Arabidopsis thaliana: one gene and its partners. The protein of the gene in region 3 binds, or shares a complex with, the protein of the main gene of each other region. Each region holds a gene or a part of one and is shown on either strand. Other genes may lie near its edges.

Region 1 (7,884 bases), on a different chromosome or scaffold from region 3:
ATCTTATGTTTGGATATTTTAGATCTTCGAATTTCTATGATAAAGTGTTAACCTTTTCTCAAATAAAGGTTTTGTGAAAATTTGCTTTTTGATGCTGCTCTATGATGATTCTTTTTGCTTTAACCACACTGAAAAGATGGGGTTGAGAATGTGATTTTGCTCTTCTTGATTCAAACCAGAGAAAGATTAGATTTGATCTCGGAGTTTCTTGATGACACTTTGATCTAAGTTGCTTGAAGGGGATTCTTTTTCTCCTTTGTGGTTTAGATTAAGGTAGAGAGTAATGTCGAGCTCTTATCAACATTTTTCATGGTTTGAGGCTTGAAGAACATTCACGTTTTTCAAGCTCACTCATGTGGACAACCTTGGCCCTTGTCTGAGAAGCAGCTTTTTCTCATATTCAGTTTTTCTAAATTTGTTGTTTTAAAAAAAAAAATTGGTTTGTTTTTTTGGCTGTTCTATGATGATTATATTGCTTTAACCACACTGAAAAGATGGGCTTGAGAATGTGATGTGGTTCTTCTTGATTTAATCCAAAGAAAGAGTTCTTGAGCTATATGTATTGCTTGATGACACTTTGATCTAAAATACTTGAAGGGGATTTGTTTCCCTTTGTGTTTTAGATCAAGGAAGAGATCAGTGTAGAGCTCTTGTTCGATATTTTTCTTAGTTTAAATCTTGAAGAACATTATCATTTTCTCAAGCACTCATATGTGGAATCATTGTGCCCTTTGTCTGAGAAGCAGCTATGAATTCTGTTTTTGTCTTCGATATTGTTAAACGTAGCTGATTTGTAAGATTACTTTGTGATCTTTTTTGGATGCTTGATATGTATCCAACCAAGAGTGGGTTTCTTCTTACAAAGATATTGAGTTAGGAATTTTAATGTCATTTTATGTTCGAATTGGGGAAAATTCACAAAAAATTGGGAAAATAGAAGAGAGCATTATTCGATGTTTACCACATGGTGGAATAATTTGACAGAACAATGTACTTTGGGAATGACATATGGAACAAACTGTGTAAACCAATTTGATGATGAAGGTGAACGAGTTACATATAGGAGACTTACACTTCCATAATAATATTCAGAAACTATATGAAAGTGTATCTTTCTTTATTACTAAAACTCTTTTCTAATAAGAAATGTGTAAACTATGTAACTCGGCAACGGTTCCAGACTCTCTAATCCTAAATCAATGTTAAAGGCGTAAGGCTCTTGAACCTGTTCATTGTGAGCTTTGAACTAAGTATTCAATTTTTTGGACAATCCGAAAAACACAACAGTATAACTACAAATGGATTAGTCCCATTTGGGCGTAGTCTCATTCGTTTGGACGAGAAACACAACGAAAAACCTAGCCAATTTTGTTGTTCTCATGTATGGGCTTAATTGGGGACTAATCCATCTGTGGTTCCCCTTGTTTCCATAGTTCGTAATTTTATTCGTTTTTCGTCTTAAGTTTTCCCTTCTTTAGGTTTAGTTTCCGGAGATATTTTTGTTTTCCGCCGGCTTTGTGTTTCAAATTTGTATTCCACCCTTTGTATTTCACAACCTATAATACAATGGAAAAATTCTGGATGAAAAAAAGAAAAAGAACACAGTATATAGAAAAATCTGAATCACAGTACTAACATCATTGATTTTCTGCTACAAAAATGAGTGTACACTGATTCTTAAAATAGATACGGGCTATAACATAACAAAAAGAAAAAGTGGGGGATGGCTTTTGCAATAATCTCGAAAGAGTTTCTCACTCACATCACACCCTTGGTTTATAAATAAAACTCATTGATCTTGACGGTGAAAATATCGCCACCTGTTAATTTGTAAAAAGGTTTCAGTACACTTAGCTACACTGGATCCAAGTCTAGTGCTAAACTCAAACCTCGTGGTTTTAGACCAAAATCTCTTCTTCTTCGTTTCCTTCTTCCTCATCATATCTTTCATCTTCTCCACCAGAATTTGTTTTAGGCTCTCCTTCTTCTGTTTCTTTTTCTCCCAAAGAAACAATTAGATATGGAGAACCTTACCCTAGTTTCTTGCTCAGCTTCTTCTCCAAAGCTGTTAATTGGATGCAATTTCACTTCCTCGCTGAAAAACCCTACTGGGTTTTCTCGTCGGACTCCTAATATTGTCCTCCGGTGTTCCAAAATATCTGCCTCTGCTCAATCTCAATCTCCCTCTTCGCGTCCGGAGAACACTGGAGAAATCGGTTAGTTTGCAAATTCCACTCGACACTCTATTATAGCAAATGCCAAAATTTTCCGGAAAAATTTCCAGTTTATTACTTTTATCTATCTTATTGAAACTCAAATTGCGAACCCTTTTCGACTGGTTTAATATGAGCTTATGAATTGCTATATCTCTTAAAAAAATCCACACTTTGTGAATTTGCAATTTGAATTCTTGTAGAAACCATTCATTGTTAGAATTGTTTACTTTAAGTTTATGTTCGATTTGCAGTGGTTGTGAAACAGAGAAGCAAAGCTTTTGCAAGTATATTTTCTTCGAGTCGTGATCAACAGACAACTTCTGTTGCTTCCCCTAGTGTGCCTGTGCCACCACCATCTTCATCAACCATGTAATTTTCCTGGTTTTGGACAATGTGCTTAGTTTGTATGTCGTTTGATTCTTGGTTATTAAATTGTGTTTTTTCTTTTTTCTTGTAGAGGATCACCACTTTTCTGGATTGGTGTTGGTGTTGGTCTATCAGCTTTGTTCTCATATGTGAGTATCAAGATTCCTTCCTAATTTTTTTTTCCTCTATAAATATTCTTTCTTGCTTCAATATTGATTAATAAGTGCTTGACCTTTTTTCTTTTCTGATGGCATTGCAGGTAACTTCAAATTTAAAGGTACAGATACTTGGCCCTCTGGTTTTACGGGACTTTTGTTCTCTAGTCTGTTGCAGAACCACGATTTTATGCTTCATGTCAACTCTAGTGTATTGTGCTCATGTATCTGAGATAGTTTTATTCACTAAACTGGTTATCTTAACAAGGTGAACTGTTTGCTCACACTTGTTGAACCGTTTATATAAGCATCGAACTTTTGCCTCTCTTTTTTTGGGTAGTCACTTGATTCGTAGATGGTAACCTACATACCATTATGGTTTTAGTGATGCAACTCAGGTATTCAGACTTATAGTCATTTTCGCAACTCCAGTATTTGATTGAAATATATTATACAAGTTGTCATTGCTTTCTCTCATTATTCTCTAACCGGCTGTTACTCTCTTTGGATTTTTTTTTTTGCTTTGGTTTAGAAATATGCAATGCAAACAGCTATGAAGACGATGATGAACCAAATGAATACGCAAAATAGCCAGTTTAATAATTCTGGATTCCCATCAGGATCACCTTTTCCGTTTCCATTTCCTCCTCAAACAAGTCCTGCTTCCTCGCCATTCCAATCTCAATCCCAGTCTTCAGGTGCTACCGTTGATGTGACAGCGACAAAAGTAGAGACACCTCCTTCAACTAAACCGAAACCTACACCTGCAAAGGATATAGAGGTGGATAAGCCAAGTGTTGTCTTAGAGGCAAGCAAAGAGAAGAAAGAAGAAAAGAACTATGGTAGATTCTTTTTCTGTTTCAGAAATCAACGTCTTTTCATTTGTATTCTCAATTTTGACTTTCTTCCTTTCTCATTTTCCAAGCTTCTAACTTGGAAGCTGATTTACTTTTGGATGCAGCCTTTGAAGACATTTCACCCGAGGAAACCACAAAAGAAAGCCCATTTAGCAACTATGCAGAAGTCTCTGAAACTAATTCCCCCAAAGAAACTCGCTTGTTTGAGGATGTAAGTTTCGTTTTCTTTTGTATTTCCACAGCACACCAAGTGGTGATTTAAAAACGTGACATAGTTTTGCTAACCTTCTATGCTCTCTTATTGATCTCTGGGTGAAGGTCTTGCAAAATGGAGCTGGTCCGGCAAATGGTGCCACTGCTTCAGAGGTTTTTCAATCTTTGGGTGAGTTATTGAATTTCAGTTTTCATCACTATCAGCGCACTGTGCATGATTCATGATTAAGGCTACGGATTTCAATTTTATTTTATAGCATATGCCAACAATTATAAACAAAGGAAGATATGAAATTGGTGATAAAGAGGAATGAGTTGGCTTCAAAAGGATCTACTCCGTTACTTTTGTCCTTCTGCTAGTCGTTGATCTGTATTGGTATAACCATATAAGACTTGCAGGATATTACCTTGGCAATCTGTTTCATATCTCATGTGTTATGATTCTTTTTTCTTATATGCTCACGTTATTGTCTCTCTTTTCCTTATTCTAAATTTAAAACTGAATCCTGAGTCTGTCTATTGTTTACACAGGTGGTGGGAAAGGAGGGCCGGGTTTATCTGTAGAAGCTTTAGAGAAAATGATGGAAGATCCAACAGTCCAGAAGATGGTTTACCCGTAACTCATCTTCCCTAGCACATTGTCTTTAAATGCATCCATTAAGTTTATCTTTAAAACTGGTTGCTTAGTGGACATTTGGTAACATTGCATGTATAAATGCAGATACTTGCCTGAGGAGATGAGGAACCCAGAAACTTTCAAATGTAAGTCTTTTAATATTTAATCCTGCTATCATTCTTTTATTAGTCCTCATTTTTACATATTTCTAAAGACTAAAGGTTACATGACTAGCTTTTGAATGATGTAATTCGTTTATAGGTTGATCCAATGGTTATCTAAATTTAAAATACAGTTTGGTACTTATTGTCTCCGCTTGGAATTTTGTAGGGATGCTTAAAAATCCTCAGTACCGTCAACAACTACAGGACATGTTGTAAGAGCTCCATTTTACGAACAATTTAGTTGTTTCCATTGCTTTTAAGAATGTCTAAACTATGTAATTAAGAAATACTCTTGTTTGTTTCTTTTCATGAATTTAGGAATAATATGAGTGGGAGTGGTGAATGGGACAAGCGAATGACAGATACATTGAAGAATTTTGACCTGAATAGTCCTGAAGTGAAGCAACAATTCAGTAAGACAAATCTCAGTTTGTACCAAGTTAATAGTACGTTAAATAGGTCTGATACTCAATGATTGAATCTGTATTTGTCAGATCAAATAGGACTAACTCCAGAAGAAGTCATATCTAAGATCATGGAGAACCCTGATGTTGCCATGGCATTCCAGAATCCTAGAGTCCAAGCAGCGTTAATGGAAGTACGTTTTCTTTTAACCTGAATAAGAGAATTGCTTAATTTTACCCCACTTCTTTCTTCATACAAAACAGAAACCAATTACATTCTTGTTGTTGTTGCAGTGCTCAGAGAACCCAATGAACATCATGAAGTACCAAAACGACAAAGAGGTAATAATACTGCCACTTCTCCATTGCCCAAAAAGGCGATTACTTTTTTAAGAAATTTGAGGTTATTATACATTGATTGCAGGTAATGGATGTGTTCAACAAGATATCGCAGCTCTTCCCAGGAATGACGGGTTGAAAAAGCTCACGTCTTTGGTTCTATCAAAAATGTCACATTGTCTTTAGCTTTTTGTAGGGAGAAAAAAATGTTTTTTTTTTTGCAAAGAGTCTTCAGTTTTGGTCAGATCAGAGAATTGTGTACCATGTTAATCTTAAACGCGGTCGGGAATTGGAGTCGTGTGAAAACGCCGCTGCTGTTGTTTGGTATGAATATTATACAATAGAATTTGTTGTCTTACCAAAAAAAGTCTATGAAGACACTGAAGAGCAAATTATTATTTTTAAGGGAAAATTTCCAAAATAAACTTCATGTATTCAAAATTTGCTTGAAAAAACCTCAATTTTTTTTGTTTGAGATTGTGTGAATAAATCTGCCAATATTTTGTTTTAGCAATTTAAAAAATTGAAGTTTTTTTCTCGCAAATTTTAAATAGTTGTGATTTATTTTGGAATTTTACCTTATTTTTAATATCCAAAAGGAGAAGTGACGTGGCGATATCGAAGCGGTTTAATGAAGTGATGGCCCCATCTTAAAGAAATCAATGACCCTTATCGTTCCACTTCTATCGGAGTCGGAGTTTTTTTTTGTTGTTGTTGTATTCCGTACGTCGGTCGTTGTCGGGAGAATTGGCGCGTGAAATCCTTGGCTCCGTCGAATACGTCTGCCTCCGACGGCTGTGAGTCGCATGATTGAGTCGTGGGTAAGTATCCTTGTGACTTCAAATTTGTATTTCCGTTCTTTATAATCCCCTGACTCTTGAGAAAATCGAGGAGAAAAAACCATCCTTGCTTGGTATTCATTTGAAGAGTGTTTTAGTTATAAAATCGTAATGTTTGACGGTATGTGATATTCTGTGAGCATGATTATTCAGAAAGCTTTTGTCTTTTTAGTAAATATTGTCTCTTTCTTAGTCTTAGGTAATGTAACCTCAAGAACTCTATGCGAGAACATTACACATTATCTTTGGAATTGGATATTATATTGTTAAAGTTTAATCATTGATGAAAGTTGCAAAGAGTTATGATGACTCCGTTTTGGGATTGTCTTACCGTTGTCTTTCTGGTTTTAATGCTTAGGTTTCTCTTGATGAAGTCTAGAAGTGAAAGTAAGAATTGTAGGCTTGCACAAGCCTCTAGAGTAGCAGTCAACAAAGTTCTAGACAAAAGCAGCGCCCGTGGCTCTCGAGGCAAGAAGAAGCAAGATGATAACTGTGATTCCGCTAAGGTTTGTTCTTCTATTCATGCAAACAACATTATTGTTATAATGATTTCACTATGTTTACCAGGGTACTTAAGATGTTAGAAGCAACGAATTCTATTGATTGTTTTCAAGGTTTCCTTGAAGATTGTGAAGTCCGTGGTACTACTAACCAATTATCAATGGCTGTTAAAAATAGTTTCCTTGTCCTATGCCTAAAGATTTTCTTGGGACAGTGGAGATTTTTGTCTTATCTAGTCCTATGTTGTCCGGGAGTGTAAAATTATTTAATACTCTTCTATCATTGCAGCGGGATAAAGGCGTAAACGGTAAGGGAAAGCAAGCGCTCGACGCAAGATTGATTGATAACGTTCTAGAGGACAGGGGATGTGGTAATGTTGATGATGATGAAATGAATGATTCAGACTGGGAAGACTGTCCAATCCCTAGTCTTGATAGTACGGTTGATGATAATAATGTTGATGACACCAGAGAGCTAACCATAGAATTTGATGATGATGTTCCTGATGCTAAGAAGCAGAAGAATGCATACCGTGCAACAGCAGAAGACAAGGTATACTGTGCTTAGGAAACACAATATGCTTACTTTTGTTTATTCTTTAAAATGTGGTTGCTTTAGAGATTTGTGCTTTGTCTCAAAGGTACGGGCGGAACTTGTCCATAAGGTGCACTTGCTCTGTCTGCTTGCAAGAGGGAGGATAGTTGACAGTGCTTGTAATGATCCCTTGATTCAGGTGAATAAATTGAATACAACAGTGTTAGCAGTTGCTTCAAAGTTAAATTTTTCATATTGCAACCTGCGATATAAAGTTTAGTTTTTACATTTAACGTGCAGGCTGCCTTGCTTTCACTTCTACCATCATACTTGACAAAAGTATCAAATCTCGAGAAAGTTACTGTCAAGGATATAGCCCCTCTTCTTCGTTGGGTATGGATTTACTGGCATGTAGCTTTTGTTTTGTTCTAATGGAAAGGTTAAACAAATGTTCCCTGGTTTAAATTGTAGGTTCGTGAAAACTTTTCTGTTAGTTGTTCTCCCAGTTCTGAGAAATCTTTTCGTACATCCCTAGCATTTGCTCTTGAATCTCGTAAAGGCACAGCGGAAGAGGTAAGCTTGGGATCAGATTTATGCCATTGAACCTTTTCATTATATGGTTACTTGTATTGTTGAAACCTCTGTTTACGAAACTTATGGAAACATTTTTGCAGCTTGCA
Region 2 (6,217 bases), on a different chromosome or scaffold from region 3:
TTGATTATCACATGATGTTGTTCTTCTAGTTGATCGAGCGCTTTAACGGGAGGTTGCCTGGATATATTGGCTCTGGGACGGATAGATACTCCTTCAGCCATGTTGATGATGTTGTGGAGGGTCATGTTGCTGCAATGGAAAAAGGTAGGCTTGGTGAAAGATACTTACTCACTGGGGAAAATGCTTCTTTCAAGCTTGTCTTTGACATGGCTGCACTGATTACTGGAACCAAAAAGCCAAACTTTAGCATTCCATTATGGGCCATCAACGCATACGGATGGTTATCTGTTTTAATCTCTCGGGTTACAGGAAAGCTTCCACTTATCAGTCCTCCGGTGAGTTTCAATTGCATTCATTAGTTGCCCACATATTATAGATTATCTTATTAGGTATAGAATAATCTCAACTCTTAGTATTTTGTGATGAACAGACAGTGACAGTGCTGAGACATCAGTGGTCATACTCTTGTGATAAGGCTAAGCTGGAACTTGGTTATAACCCTCGAAGCCTAAAGGAAGGATTGGAGGAGATGCTCCCTTGGTTGAAGAGTCTGGGCGTCATTCACTACTGAAATTCAAATTTCCCATCTTTCAGGTATTTCGAAGAATAATATTCCCTTGAATTCAGTCACTATGATGAGTGATGACTACATTTTTACTTCTCCCGTTACACTTTTAACCCAATCGATTTTTATCTTGTTACAAAACTGCTTCGTTTTGATCGTGTATGTCAAATAAATGTGAAACATTGTGTGCAAATGCTGATGATCATATTTTAAGATGTTGAGCTACGTGTGAGAGTAGGAAAGAGGGAATATGTAAATGTGGGAAATAATCACATTTTATCTGCCAAGAACTATATGATTACATCTATAACATATATGATCAGAAGATAAATACTAAGTATCCATATAATTTGTTCATGATGGTTTTGATCTTTTAGGATATCCACTTTATTGTAGCTGCATGGCCGTTGGTAGTCAATCTTCTTTTCAGTTTATGCTGTTCAGTGTTCACAAAACAAATTAAATAGGTCAATTAGAGGATTATGTAGTTAGAAGCTCTCACAACTACACATGTTTCGGCAATATTAAAAAGAAACTGCAGTAGCTACCTGTTACAGTCCACAGTCTTAGAGAAAGGGACTCCTATATTAACACCACATTTAGCAGGGAGTTGTTTGGCAAAATCATCATTAATTCCAGGGATTGTATTAGCTACACTCTTCAAGCAATTACAAGCTACTTGTCTATCGGCTTTCTCAGGCGCTGCGGCTTTTAGACTATTAAGTCCGTTGCAGCACATTGGAGACGGATTTCCTCCAGCTTTTAGATAAGGCAAACATTGTGCTAAGTACATGTTTACCTGCGGACATGCTATGGCTTCTCCATGATACGCAATCCCCAATAAAATCGTAATCACAAGTAGTAACATTTTTCGGGTTGTAGTAGTAATGTTCCTCATATTTTTCAGTTAACGAGAGTTTTAACAATTTTGTTTTCTTTAGTGTGTTGTTTGCTTGATCTAGTAAGTATTTTATAAGGAGGAGAAATTTGGAGGAAAAAAATGTCATCGACATGAATTTTGAGTGACAAAAGCTTTTTGTAAGTCATGTCATGTGTTTAGAATGGTGTGGAAGTTGAGTTTAGAAAGTTAATAAATGCTTTGTCACCAAACTTTTGATCAAGGGCCATATTAAACGTAAACTAAAACCAATCAAGTCCAATAAAGCCCAAATAAAAAAGCCCAAACGAATTGCTCTGAAGCCTTTTTCTTCACTCTCTTCATAGTATCAAAAATTGCTTCTTCTTCTTCTACTTCTTTCTTCTCTCTGCAAATCCAAAAATGGAGTCATCAGTGAAACCCAATCCTTTCCTCTCCTTCTCTTCTTTCATTCACCACCAGTGTACCCGCTTCAGCTCCGACCTCTCCGCCCGAATCGAAGACACGAAACGATTCGCCGAAACCCTAGCTACTCGACGTTTCTCTCTTCCTACTCCGCCGCCTTTCGCCTCCGTCTCACAATCCAAGTCTGGAACCCCGACGACGACGTTGAGTCCATCTCTTGTCGCTAAAGCTCTCGCTGGGACGTCGGTGTTTACAGTCAGTAACACCAATAACGAATTCGTTCTTATCTCGGATCCTACCGGAGGCAAGTCTATCGGTTTGCTCTGTTTTCGACAAGAGGATGCTGAAGCTTTTCTTGCTCAGGTTTCGCTTTTTGTTGTATTTTTCTCCTCCGAACTTTTTTAAAAAAATGTGAAGTTTCTGAGCTCATAATTCTCTAATATACTCCTTTAGGCGCGACTTCGGAGAAGAGAATTGAAAACCAATGCGAAGGTTGTTCCCATTACTCTGGACCAGGTAGTTCCCTTTCCTTATGATCACTGCATTAGATCAATGTGGAAGAAGCCATTGGTTAAATCAAATGAAACAAACAAATTTCAGGAGCTCAAATTCTAAGTAGACTTGTTCATGTCTGGCCTCATTTTAGTTGTTTATATTATACGGTAATAGGAACACCTGTTGGCAGTTTGAATGAACGGGAGATTGTGTTCTTGTGCACGTAGCAATGTTGACAACATCGTCACAAGAAAGAATGCAACGATGGCATGATTATAATCCCTCTAATGGCTTGGAACTTATAAGTTATAACTACGTTTAGGGAACTTTTTGATGTTATTTGCGTAATCGTGGTAGCTACATTCCCAGAAGTTAAGATGATGTTGTTTACAGGTGTACTTGCTAAAAGTTGAAGGGATTTCCTTTCGCTTCTTGCCAGATCCAATCCAAATAAAGAATGCGTTAGAGGTTGGCTCATGCTAAACAGACTTTTAATTATATGTGTCTATAGCATTTATTTGGCATTTCAATCTTATCCATAAGCTATATTTTCTTGCGTCTCAGCTCAAATCCTCAGGAAATAAGAATGGGTTTGATGGAGTTCCGGTTTTTCAGGTAAATTGATATACTCATTTTCTGTGTTTTTCTATTATACCAATATGGATTCCTTATGTTTTGGTGTTTTTGCTTTGTTTTCTCTTGATATCTATCTGTTGTTATTGGCCTCTACAGTCTGAGCTTCTTGTTGTGAGGAAAAAAAATAGACGTTACTGCCCTGTATATTTCAGTAAGGTTGGTTAGTTTCTTCTCCCACGTTAAAGAATACTAATAGATCTCTCATAAGCCAAAACAGAGGAAGATAACTCTTACTTTCCTGTTCTGCGTGACCACTTTCAGGAAGATATAGAGAGGGAACTTTCTAAATATACGAGAGCATCAAGAGGAGATCAACAAATTATGGTAATGATTCATACCTACCTTCTATGTATTTGAATCTTCGATAGGCCACGTAAGATAGAAACAAACACCTTGATCTAAAGACATGGTTTACTAACAAGTGGGAGTAGCTAGTAGCTGTGTTGGCATCATATGTAATTTCTAGCATTTTTTGTGATTACATGTTCTGCAAACATATAACACCATGTTTTCAAAGGAACAGCGAGGGAAAGGGAAAAGTCTTAGAAAACTTTAGAAAGAGCGGAATTCAGATTGTACATGCCTTCATATATCTGAGTTAAAATGAATTCCAAGGTTTATCGTTATCAAAGTTGCATATCAGAGATCAATATATAAAGTAATTTCACAGCATTGGTTTTGTTAAGAGTTTTCTTATCTTCACCATGGAACTAATCTTTTTGTTTTGCAGGTTGGGAGTCTGGAAGATGTGTTGAGGAAAATGGAGGTACTCACGCTTCTTCTTTGTTTAAAGAAACCTTAAAGTATGAAAACCTGGTAGTCTAATAAAAATCTGAATTGAATCAATGTAGATGAGCGAGAAGAATTCAGGTTGGGAAGATGTAATATTCATTCCACCGGGAAGAAGTTATGCACAACACATGCAGGATTTGATCAAAGAGTAAAACCATAATAGACACAATGTGTGTATTTTTACTTGATAAAAAAAAAACAGCCTCTTTTGAGATTTTGCAATATTATCAATTGCCCAAAGAGCTCAACACAGTCCCAAAATTTAGTTTTCTCCTCTCCTTTTACCACTTAAACACATCATCAACATGTTACTCGTGGTTCTTACATCCAGAAAAATATATTTGGCATATACGGATACCTAAATCAAATAACATAATCTTGTTTGTTTTAAAAAGTGGAGATGTACGTTATTCATCTGTCATTAGAATGTAGTATCAGCCTAATTATTCAAAGGAGGTTGAGGCCTCTAAAATGATATGTTGGTTTAAGCTAATTATTGATCAAATTTGGTTGATATACGATTATTAAAACTAAGATGTCTTACCAATACTTATTTTCATTTTCTTTTCCTCTCATCATAATCGCTTTGACATCTCAGCTTAATGATAATGTGATTATTTTCATCCTTACTAATTGTTACTGCCTTAAAAAAAACAAGTTGAAGTAAGAAAAAGAAAAGGAGATGAGATTGTTTCAAAAGCATTGATCCTTTCCTGAAGCGTAAGTAAGCGATGTTGACAGCAGAACTAAACTTGTTGCTTGCTTGACTTCCTCCGTCGTCGCATATTGCACCTACTAACATTTTTTCTCTTCTTTATTCTTCCAACCAATTGTAGCCTATGGTCTTTTGTACCAATTTTTCAAAAGTTGTAGTTGGTAGAGGTTTTGTGAACAAATCTGTAACATAATTTATTTTCTAACATAGATTGCATCGTTTTCTGATAAAGATCATCAAATTGTGGAAATATGTAGTTTTTTTTTAGTTTTTTTTTTTTGGGCGGAAATATGTAGTTTATTATCCTACTTTTGATGACATTTTCCTTTATTCAATTGAGCTGTAACTACTACTTTATTTTATTTTTGTATTGTGTTAAGTTGTTGTATAGTCTTTATCGGAGATTACATGTTCTCCGAACTTATGTAACAGCAAGCATTCACAATTTGTCTCATTATTTACCAAGATTTGTGAATAGATAAAGTGGTAACAAAAGTCAATGTCCTGGAGCACCATTAATAGTAGAACCTTCAAATGACGGTAGATAACTTTTAATGAAATCCCTTTTGGGTTTTGCATTGGATGAGATAAAGTGATATATGTAGTAAATAAAAAGGATCCCTTACAATATTGTAATTTTGGTCCCATGTTTGGAGGTGAGAGCAAATACGTATCTTAAGGCATACGTATCGCAAACTCATGTCATTATCCAACCACAATCGTTGGCGACATATCTTTGTTTAATAATAATACATCAGGCTTGTGTTTGAGTAAAGAAAATCCTTTGACACGTCCAATGTAAACTCTTTTAGACGTTTTTTTTGTCCTACTCAAAAAAACTCAACCTCTACTTAAAGTACTAATTACCATGTTTTTGTTTTTTTCTCTACCCTTCACGTGGTTCGCATACAAAGAATATTCCTACACATATTTCTCGTGAAACCTTTAAACATTTTGATTTAGGAGTGTATATATATAAGATGAAAGATAAATGTTTGTCATTCAGAAACGAGATGACGATAATGACGATGATAATGAAGATGGCTCCTTCCAAATCTGCACTGATACGCTTTAATCTAGTCTTGTTGGGTTTCTCTTTTCTTCTCTACACTGCCATTTTCTTCCACCCTTCTTCATCAGTCTATTTCAGCAGCGGAGCTTCCTTTGTTGGATGCTCTTTTCGTGATTGCACTCCCAAGGTAAGGTGAGTTTACATTTTTGTTTGCAGAGTAAATCTTATATCAAAACTTAGACTAATAGATATCTTTATACTGCTATGTGATCAGGTGGTGAGAGGAGTGAAGATGCAAGAACTCGTTGAAGAGAACGAAATAAACAAGAAAGATTTGCTAACCGCTAGTAACCAGACAAAGCTGGAGGCGCCAAGCTTCATGGAAGAGATTTTAACAAGAGGGTTAGGAAAAACAAAGATAGGGATGGTGAACATGGAAGAATGTGATCTTACTAATTGGAAACGTTATGGCGAAACGGTTCACATACATTTTGAGCGTGTCTCGAAGCTCTTCAAATGGCAAGACTTGTTCCCCGAGTGGATAGATGAAGAGGAAGAAACCGAGGTTCCCACATGTCCTGAGATACCTATGCCCGATTTCGAAAGCTTAGAGAAGTTGGATTTGGTAGTAGTGAAGTTGCCTTGTAATTACCCTGAAGAAGGGTGGAGAAGAGAGGTTTTGAGGTTGCAAGTGAACCTAGTTGCGGCTAACTTGGCAGC
Region 3 (6,227 bases):
ATTTCCTCTCAGATATATGTGATTCTCACTCAGGTCTTCTACTCAAATAGGCTTTTTCTTCTTCTCAAGGTACGAAGATTATATATATAAATTCACATCACATGCTTCTATATAATAATAGTCATATAGATTAAGAATTGCTAAAAGGTGATCCAGAGGACCTGCGTATGCGTACCCTTTTCTGAGGTGATCTATTCAAAAGGATCGACGAATTTCACGCCCTTGTCTTGTGATTCTGCTACCTGTTAGAGGAAGAGAGCTCTGGCTCGAGAGTTGCAGCTCTGAGAATGGAATTGACCCACCGCTCTGGGAGAAAATCAAACCTGCCGAGATGTTTGATGTGCTTCTTGATGTAGGCACACCGGTCATGTAAGCATCTTTTGCACCGCCTGCTATGAGCTCTGTCGATGAAGAAGAAGGGGCAGCTGCCAGAGCACCCAAGAGAGAGCTCACTGGGTAAGGAGCCACCGGTGCATCAGCTAGAGAGGACGCAGAAGGATTGTATCTGATCGTTCCCATTGGATGATCAAACTTACATGTTGATCCAAACTTACAGAAGCCGTTTTGTACGTAGAAAGTGCACCGTTGCACACCCTGTTTTCAACCCAAGATAAACAACGGATTTAGAGACAGAAATGTTATAACTATGATCAACAACCTTTATGACATATTAACACAGAGCATACCGGGCGTAGAGGAAGACCAATGGGGCTGAGGACGCAATTCGCTCTTGGTGGAACCCGATCTCGAGGATGATGAAACTTACAAGATGTTCCAAACTTACAATCTCCTGTTTTCAAATAGTATTGGCACTCTGGTTCACCAGGTCTCTCTGGAAAGGCCTGTTCTTTCTGTATAACACCTGTAGGAGAGGACAGAGATGGATAAACCCCGGGAAGCGAAGGAGTGGTGGAAGTGAGCTGTGTAACTCCATATAAAGAAGTTGCCCCAACAGCGTGCTGCGCACCAGGAGATAGAGCAGGGCTCACAGGTGCCTGAAGCAAAAGCAAAAGTGAGACAGTAAGAGACTGTGGTGAATAACAAATGTATTGATGATACATCAATAAAAAAAAAGGTCACCGAGTAAGGACTCCAGCCTGGAATAGGAACGACCCCGGGGGTTAATAGCATTGGACCATAGGCGCCTTGCATATAAGAACCAGGAAGAAGAGTTCTTGCAACTCTCAAGCTAGAAGATGGACCTCCATACTGGTCAGGCATAAGTGACTGCACCGATGGATAAAACTGAGGTGCAGATGCTGGTGGTGGTGGGACAGTAGTACCAGCAGGCTGAGGATGATGAAATTTACAGGTTATACCAAATTTGCATTGCCCCGTTTTCAAATAGTAGGAGCATTCGTTATCACCCTACAAAGAGTTTATAAAAGATCATGCAAACTCGAGACTAGCCTTTTATTTGACATGAGTGGAAACAAAGCTTACCTCTCGTACAGGGTATCCATATATATTTAGTGGAACGTGGCTCATGGATCCACCTGCATTCTTTGGATGGTGGAATTTGCATGACGCCCCAAATTTACAAGTTCCAGTTTTCAAGTAAAACTGCCAGGAAAGCAGAGATCAATAATATCACAAAAAACCTTGTTTCATCACTTGGAACATATAAAATGACTGGTCGGGGTGGGTTACCTGGCATGGGGGTTCACCAAAACGTTCAGGATACTGCCCGGTAGCTCTAACAGTTGCTTCAACCTATACATGAATCAACATGAGAAAATAGTAAACTGTGGCCAAGCTAAGATGACAAAATGATAAGCTTTTACAAGAGCATACAAAGGTATCAGTAAATACAGGGAAACACCGGGTAGAGTCAATGCATAAGACAAAAAAAAACGTGACGTAAAGCACAACAACTGAAACCAGTAAAGCTTAACAATTTCCCCAGTTTAGAGAGACTCTATAAGGCCAGTGATCACCCACATTGCGGAAAAAACAGAGAGAAGCATTTGATTGTGTCCTCCTAGTATGGATGGTTTCAGAACAATAATAAGAAAGAAGAATGAATGAGAGGAAGAAATTACCGAGGCACGATCGCGAGGGTGATTGTAACGACATCTATTACCGTAGCCACAGACACCAGTTCGCATGTAGTAGGCACAGTCAGGAGCACCTGGTCTCTCAGGGTACGAGTCGCTACCCAACCCTAATCGCCACATCGATTCTGCAAATCACAAAATTGAGCACAGTCAGGGCCATTTAGCGGAAACCCTAAAGAGACCGTACAGTTGCTGAGAATCAAAGCGCATGCGAGACCTTGGAGTCCGGTATCGGCATCTGCAGGGGTCCAGTCGGGAGCTTGAGCAGATTGTGAGCCATTGAGGGGAGGATTGCGAGCATACATGTCCTTAAATTTAGGGATTTGGTGTACAGTAAAAAAGATACTAGTAAAAACTCCTCTCACCAAACTAGAAGAAACTAATAAGAGAGTAAATGTCAAAAGCTCATCGGTGGATCGACAGAGATTTACCGGAGAAGCCGATTAGAAAAGCTCTGAGAGAGAAGAAAAAAAGAAGAAGAAGAAGAAGAGATGCTTCGACAGTGATTGAGAGGAGCTTCTTCTTTGGTCGGTCTCTCTCTCTCTCTCTCTCTTCTTTCGCTCTTCAGGAATACCGTACGGTCTGCCCTCTGCACTACTGTTTCTTTTTTTAGCTTTCAATTTCTTTTTCTCATATTCTTTTTTAAATAATAATAGTATATAGTAGTAGTTTGTATTAATTTGTTTTGTGAGATTTATTTTTGGTTCTCTCTTGGTCCTTGGGTCGCCAAGTAAAAGCATCCCAGAAAAGGGAAGATATTTCCAAGAAATATACTACTTGACAAAACAACAAACAAAAAATAAATAAACTAATTTTTACTAGTTTCCAACCAAAATGACGGTAAGGTCCTTGGGCGGGGATAGCGCGCGAGTGGCCAACATGTGACACACAGACAGTTTTCTCACTTCACTTGCTAACTCGGGGAGTAAAGTGGTCTGGTCCGAAAGTGGGGACACATCCGTCATTTCTACCTGCTACTGTTTCTTAACTGCTCTCTCAACTCGCTCTGACCGAGTCTGACTCGACTCGACTCGCCTTCAATCAATGCCATCACATTTCTTCGTTTCCGCTTCCCATTTGTCGGCGCCACAAAAACCTTCTGTTGTTCACGAAGCCCTCTAGTACCATATATAGGCCCATTTATATAGCTAAGTCGGCCCAATTATGTTGTTAGTGTGCGCGGGCCAAATTTTAGATTCGAAAACGGCAGCGTTTGAGCTGTTACTTTTTTTTGCTCTTCTTGTCAACAAATCGACACTGCCGACTAAACAGCGAAAATCCCAAACAAAAAAATAAAAGAATGGCGTCTCTGTGCCTTTCTCTCCACCAAACCCTAACTAATCCCCTGTCGGCTCCCAGATGCAGACCACTCAGCCTCTCCTTCCCCGGATCCTCAACCTTCTCGATCCGCCCCTCTAGCAGACGCGCAACCGCCTTGACGACCCGCGCCTCCTACACCCCGACGCCGGCGACTGAGCGCGTGATTTCGATAGCGTCGTACGCGCTGCCGTTCTTCAATTCTCTGCAGTACGGGCGGTTCCTGTTCGCGCAGTACCCAAGGCTGGGATTGCTGTTCGAGCCAATCTTCCCAATCCTGAACCTGTACAGATCGGTGCCGTACGCGAGCTTCGTGGCATTCTTCGGGCTGTACCTGGGAGTGGTGAGGAACACGAGTTTCAGTAGGTACGTGAGGTTCAACGCGATGCAGGCGGTGACGCTGGATGTGCTCCTGGCGGTTCCGGTGCTGCTGACCCGAATACTGGATCCGGGTCAAGGAGGCGGGTTTGGAATGAAGGCGATGATGTGGGGGCACACGGGGGTTTTCGTCTTCAGCTTTATGTGTTTTGTGTATGGAGTCGTCAGCTCCTTACTCGGCAAAACTCCATACATTCCATTTGTCGCTGATGCCGCCGGTAGACAACTCTAATTCCGGCCAATATCTACCTCACTCAGTGTTCGGGTTTTCGATTCTAGAATCGGTTATTTCTGGTTTATAAGAGAGACCAAATCAATCAGTGTTGTTAATTAACCATTACCGTTTTAAAAAAAATATTTTTTGTTATACTCCCAACATTTGATTTGGCCCAATATGAAAGAACAGTATGGGGGGCCTTTAATGAAGCTATCATTGACTGAGTATAATTTTACAATCGTCGGTGAAAAGGTAACTAAGTAAACGGTAAAAAAATGAGCGCCGTCTATCTTACCGCGCAATGAATGAGAAGTCAATTTGGGAAACTGATCGGAGAAAAGAGGGAGAGAGGGTTTCTCAGCTGAAATCAAAATGGGTATTATCAGATTTCAAATCCTGAATCCGACGAGGATTTGTAGGTCTACTATATATTATATGTCTTGCCGTTATCTGCCATCATCATCATCATCATCATCACCACTCCGAGTATCTTCTTCTTCATCGCAAAAACCTAGTTTCGATTTCTCCAGAAGGTGGCATTTTGGTCACCCTGATCATCACCAGCAATATCAAAAGCCTGGAGAAGAAGGGGAGAAGATATTCCGGCTAGGTCTCACCGCAGATATAGGTTTATCTGTCGCAAAAGCTCTCACCGGTTATCTCTGCGGCAGCACCGCCATTATCGCCGATGCTGCTCATTCCGTTTCCGATGTGGTAATGAAAATTCTCATTTGCTGAGGACGAGAGATGATCCTTCCTTTGGTTTTGTTTCTCACATGATCATCATCATTATATCTCAGGTTCTAAGTGGTGTTGCTCTAGTGTCTTACAGAGCTGCAAATGTTCCCAAGGACAAAGAACATCCTTATGGTTACCTTTTCTCTTCTCTTTCCTTTGATGTAAATACATTATAATAACAATGAACTGAATTTCCCCATGCATACAAGGGCAGGTCATGGTAAATTTGAAACGCTTGGAGCACTTGGCATCTCTGCCATGCTTTTGGCTACTGGCTCTGGTATTGCCTGGCATGCTTTAGACCTTTTATCTGTATGACCACCACTCTCTCCTTTCTCTTTCTTTTTTAATTACTCATCTCCACCTCCACAACCTTGCTTCATTGTATGAGAATATATTGCACTTCATGTTTATCTTTTATCGATCCTCCATTGTTTGTTTTATTTGGGATATAATAAATTCAATTTACAGAGTTCTTCTCCCTTCCTTTCTCATTTGCAGATTGCACTGTCCGCAGCTCCTGAGGTAATTCATAGTGGACATCATCACGGCATTGATATGAATCATCCCATTCTCGCTTTGACTGTTACTATTGCTTCCATTTCTATCAAAGAAGGGTACAAACATCACTTTATTTATCACTCTTTTCAATCCAATCAAGTTTATCATACCCCATTGCTTTACGTCTACAGCTTTTGCTCTACCGTCGCTTCTTACTAGACAATTGCAAATTTTCACTTTAGTTAGACTTGCTTCTCAGAACCTACCGCCCCTTTTCTTTTGATCCTTCATCCCTATTCTCTTCACTTATTTTGATCCTTCATCCCTGAATCTTATGTTTCTCAGGCTTTATTGGATCACAAAACGAGCAGGTGAAAAACAAGGGAGTGGTTTGATGATGGCAAATGCTTGGCATCATCGATCAGATGCTATTTCTTCTCTAGTTGCACTTGTTGGAGTTGGTAAGCTTTTCTTTCCAATCAGTACATATGTAAATCAACTATATCCTTTGTTTCAATATCCCAGACCTGGTCACGCATATGGCTACTACTAAAGAACTGGAGACAATGTAGATCTCTGAATTCCATTTATTTACTTTTACCAAGTCTCTCTCATCGGTCCAGCTATTGTACGGAACTACTGATAAAGGGAGACATGAAGTTCTCATAAATCGTGAAATATGACTTGTGTGCAGGAGGTTCTATTCTCGGAGTTAATTTTTTAGATCCTCTAGCTGGCCTTGTTGTCTCGACAATGATTGTCAATGCCGGACTGAAAACAGGACACCAAAGGTACTCACGCTATATATGTTGCTTTTTCGATTTGTTTTCTCCATACAACACTTGTAATAGCTTGAACATGGAATAATGGTTACAAATATGTCTTTTTGGTTCCAACACCATGTCCATTGCTGAAATCTCATTTCTTTGTTCAGTATCTTGGAACTCGTGGATGCTGCTATACCAGCTCAGCAATTAGAGCCAATAAGACAAACCATATTACAGGTTGAAGGAGTGAAG

Evidence for each region. Proteins that work in one complex are often made in the same cells at the same time.
Region 1: Tic20-II (region 3) and TIC40 share a complex: the UniProt entries of both Arabidopsis thaliana proteins name them as parts of the tic complex.
Region 2: Tic20-II (region 3) and Tic22-IV share a complex: the UniProt entries of both Arabidopsis thaliana proteins name them as parts of the tic complex.

What each region holds. Positions count from the first base shown.
Region 1 is NC_003076.8:5,448,788-5,456,671, forward strand, and holds TIC40 (hydroxyproline-rich glycoprotein family protein), read left to right. Parts: upstream 1-1,832; 5' UTR 1,833-2,020; coding exon 2,021-2,216; intron 2,217-2,467; coding exon 2,468-2,585; intron 2,586-2,673; coding exon 2,674-2,731; intron 2,732-2,841; coding exon 2,842-2,859; intron 2,860-3,269; coding exon 3,270-3,579; intron 3,580-3,698; coding exon 3,699-3,805; intron 3,806-3,912; coding exon 3,913-3,976; intron 3,977-4,338; coding exon 4,339-4,423; intron 4,424-4,528; coding exon 4,529-4,569; intron 4,570-4,753; coding exon 4,754-4,799; intron 4,800-4,905; coding exon 4,906-5,000; intron 5,001-5,081; coding exon 5,082-5,185; intron 5,186-5,285; coding exon 5,286-5,333; intron 5,334-5,415; coding exon 5,416-5,469; 3' UTR 5,470-5,790; downstream 5,791-7,884. Other genes in the region: DNA repair protein Rad4 family, read left to right, coding at 6,538-6,675, 6,959-7,222, 7,311-7,403, 7,505-7,597, 7,676-7,777, 7,879-7,884. UniProt on the Arabidopsis thaliana protein: Involved in protein precursor import into chloroplasts. Part of the motor complex consisting of a co-chaperone (TIC40) and a chaperone (HSP93) associated with the import channel (TIC110).
Region 2 is NC_003075.7:16,062,343-16,068,559, reverse strand, and holds Tic22-IV (Tic22-like family protein), read left to right. Parts: upstream 1-1,662; 5' UTR 1,663-1,844; coding exon 1,845-2,210; intron 2,211-2,300; coding exon 2,301-2,363; intron 2,364-2,735; coding exon 2,736-2,810; intron 2,811-2,906; coding exon 2,907-2,957; intron 2,958-3,074; coding exon 3,075-3,134; intron 3,135-3,239; coding exon 3,240-3,302; intron 3,303-3,708; coding exon 3,709-3,744; intron 3,745-3,829; coding exon 3,830-3,922; 3' UTR 3,923-4,123; downstream 4,124-6,217. Other genes in the region: FLDH (NAD(P)-binding Rossmann-fold superfamily protein), read left to right, coding at 30-335, 431-571; AT4G33355 (Bifunctional inhibitor/lipid-transfer protein/seed storage 2S albumin superfamily protein), read right to left, coding at 992-1,001, 1,114-1,463; PGSIP3 (plant glycogenin-like starch initiation protein 3), read left to right, coding at 5,499-5,684, 5,772-6,217. UniProt on the Arabidopsis thaliana protein: Involved in protein precursor import into chloroplasts. Imported into the intermembrane space via the Toc translocon. May be involved in the import pathway used by proteins without a cleavable N-terminal pre-sequence.
Region 3 is NC_003071.7:19,592,088-19,598,314, reverse strand, and holds Tic20-II (putative conserved protein ycf60), read left to right. Parts: upstream 1-3,313; 5' UTR 3,314-3,357; coding exon 3,358-3,984; 3' UTR 3,985-4,128; downstream 4,129-6,227. Other genes in the region: AT2G47850 (Zinc finger C-x8-C-x5-C-x3-H type family protein), read right to left, coding at 196-594, 687-995, 1,081-1,368, 1,444-1,563, 1,651-1,713, 2,043-2,182, 2,275-2,362; AT2G47844 (uncharacterized protein), read right to left, coding at 2,876-3,022; AT2G47830 (Cation efflux family protein), read left to right, coding at 4,342-4,683, 4,770-4,839, 4,922-5,019, 5,209-5,324, 5,554-5,669, 5,903-5,999, 6,143-6,227. UniProt on the Arabidopsis thaliana protein: May be involved in protein precursor import into chloroplasts. Not redundant with TIC20-I, TIC20-IV or TIC20-V.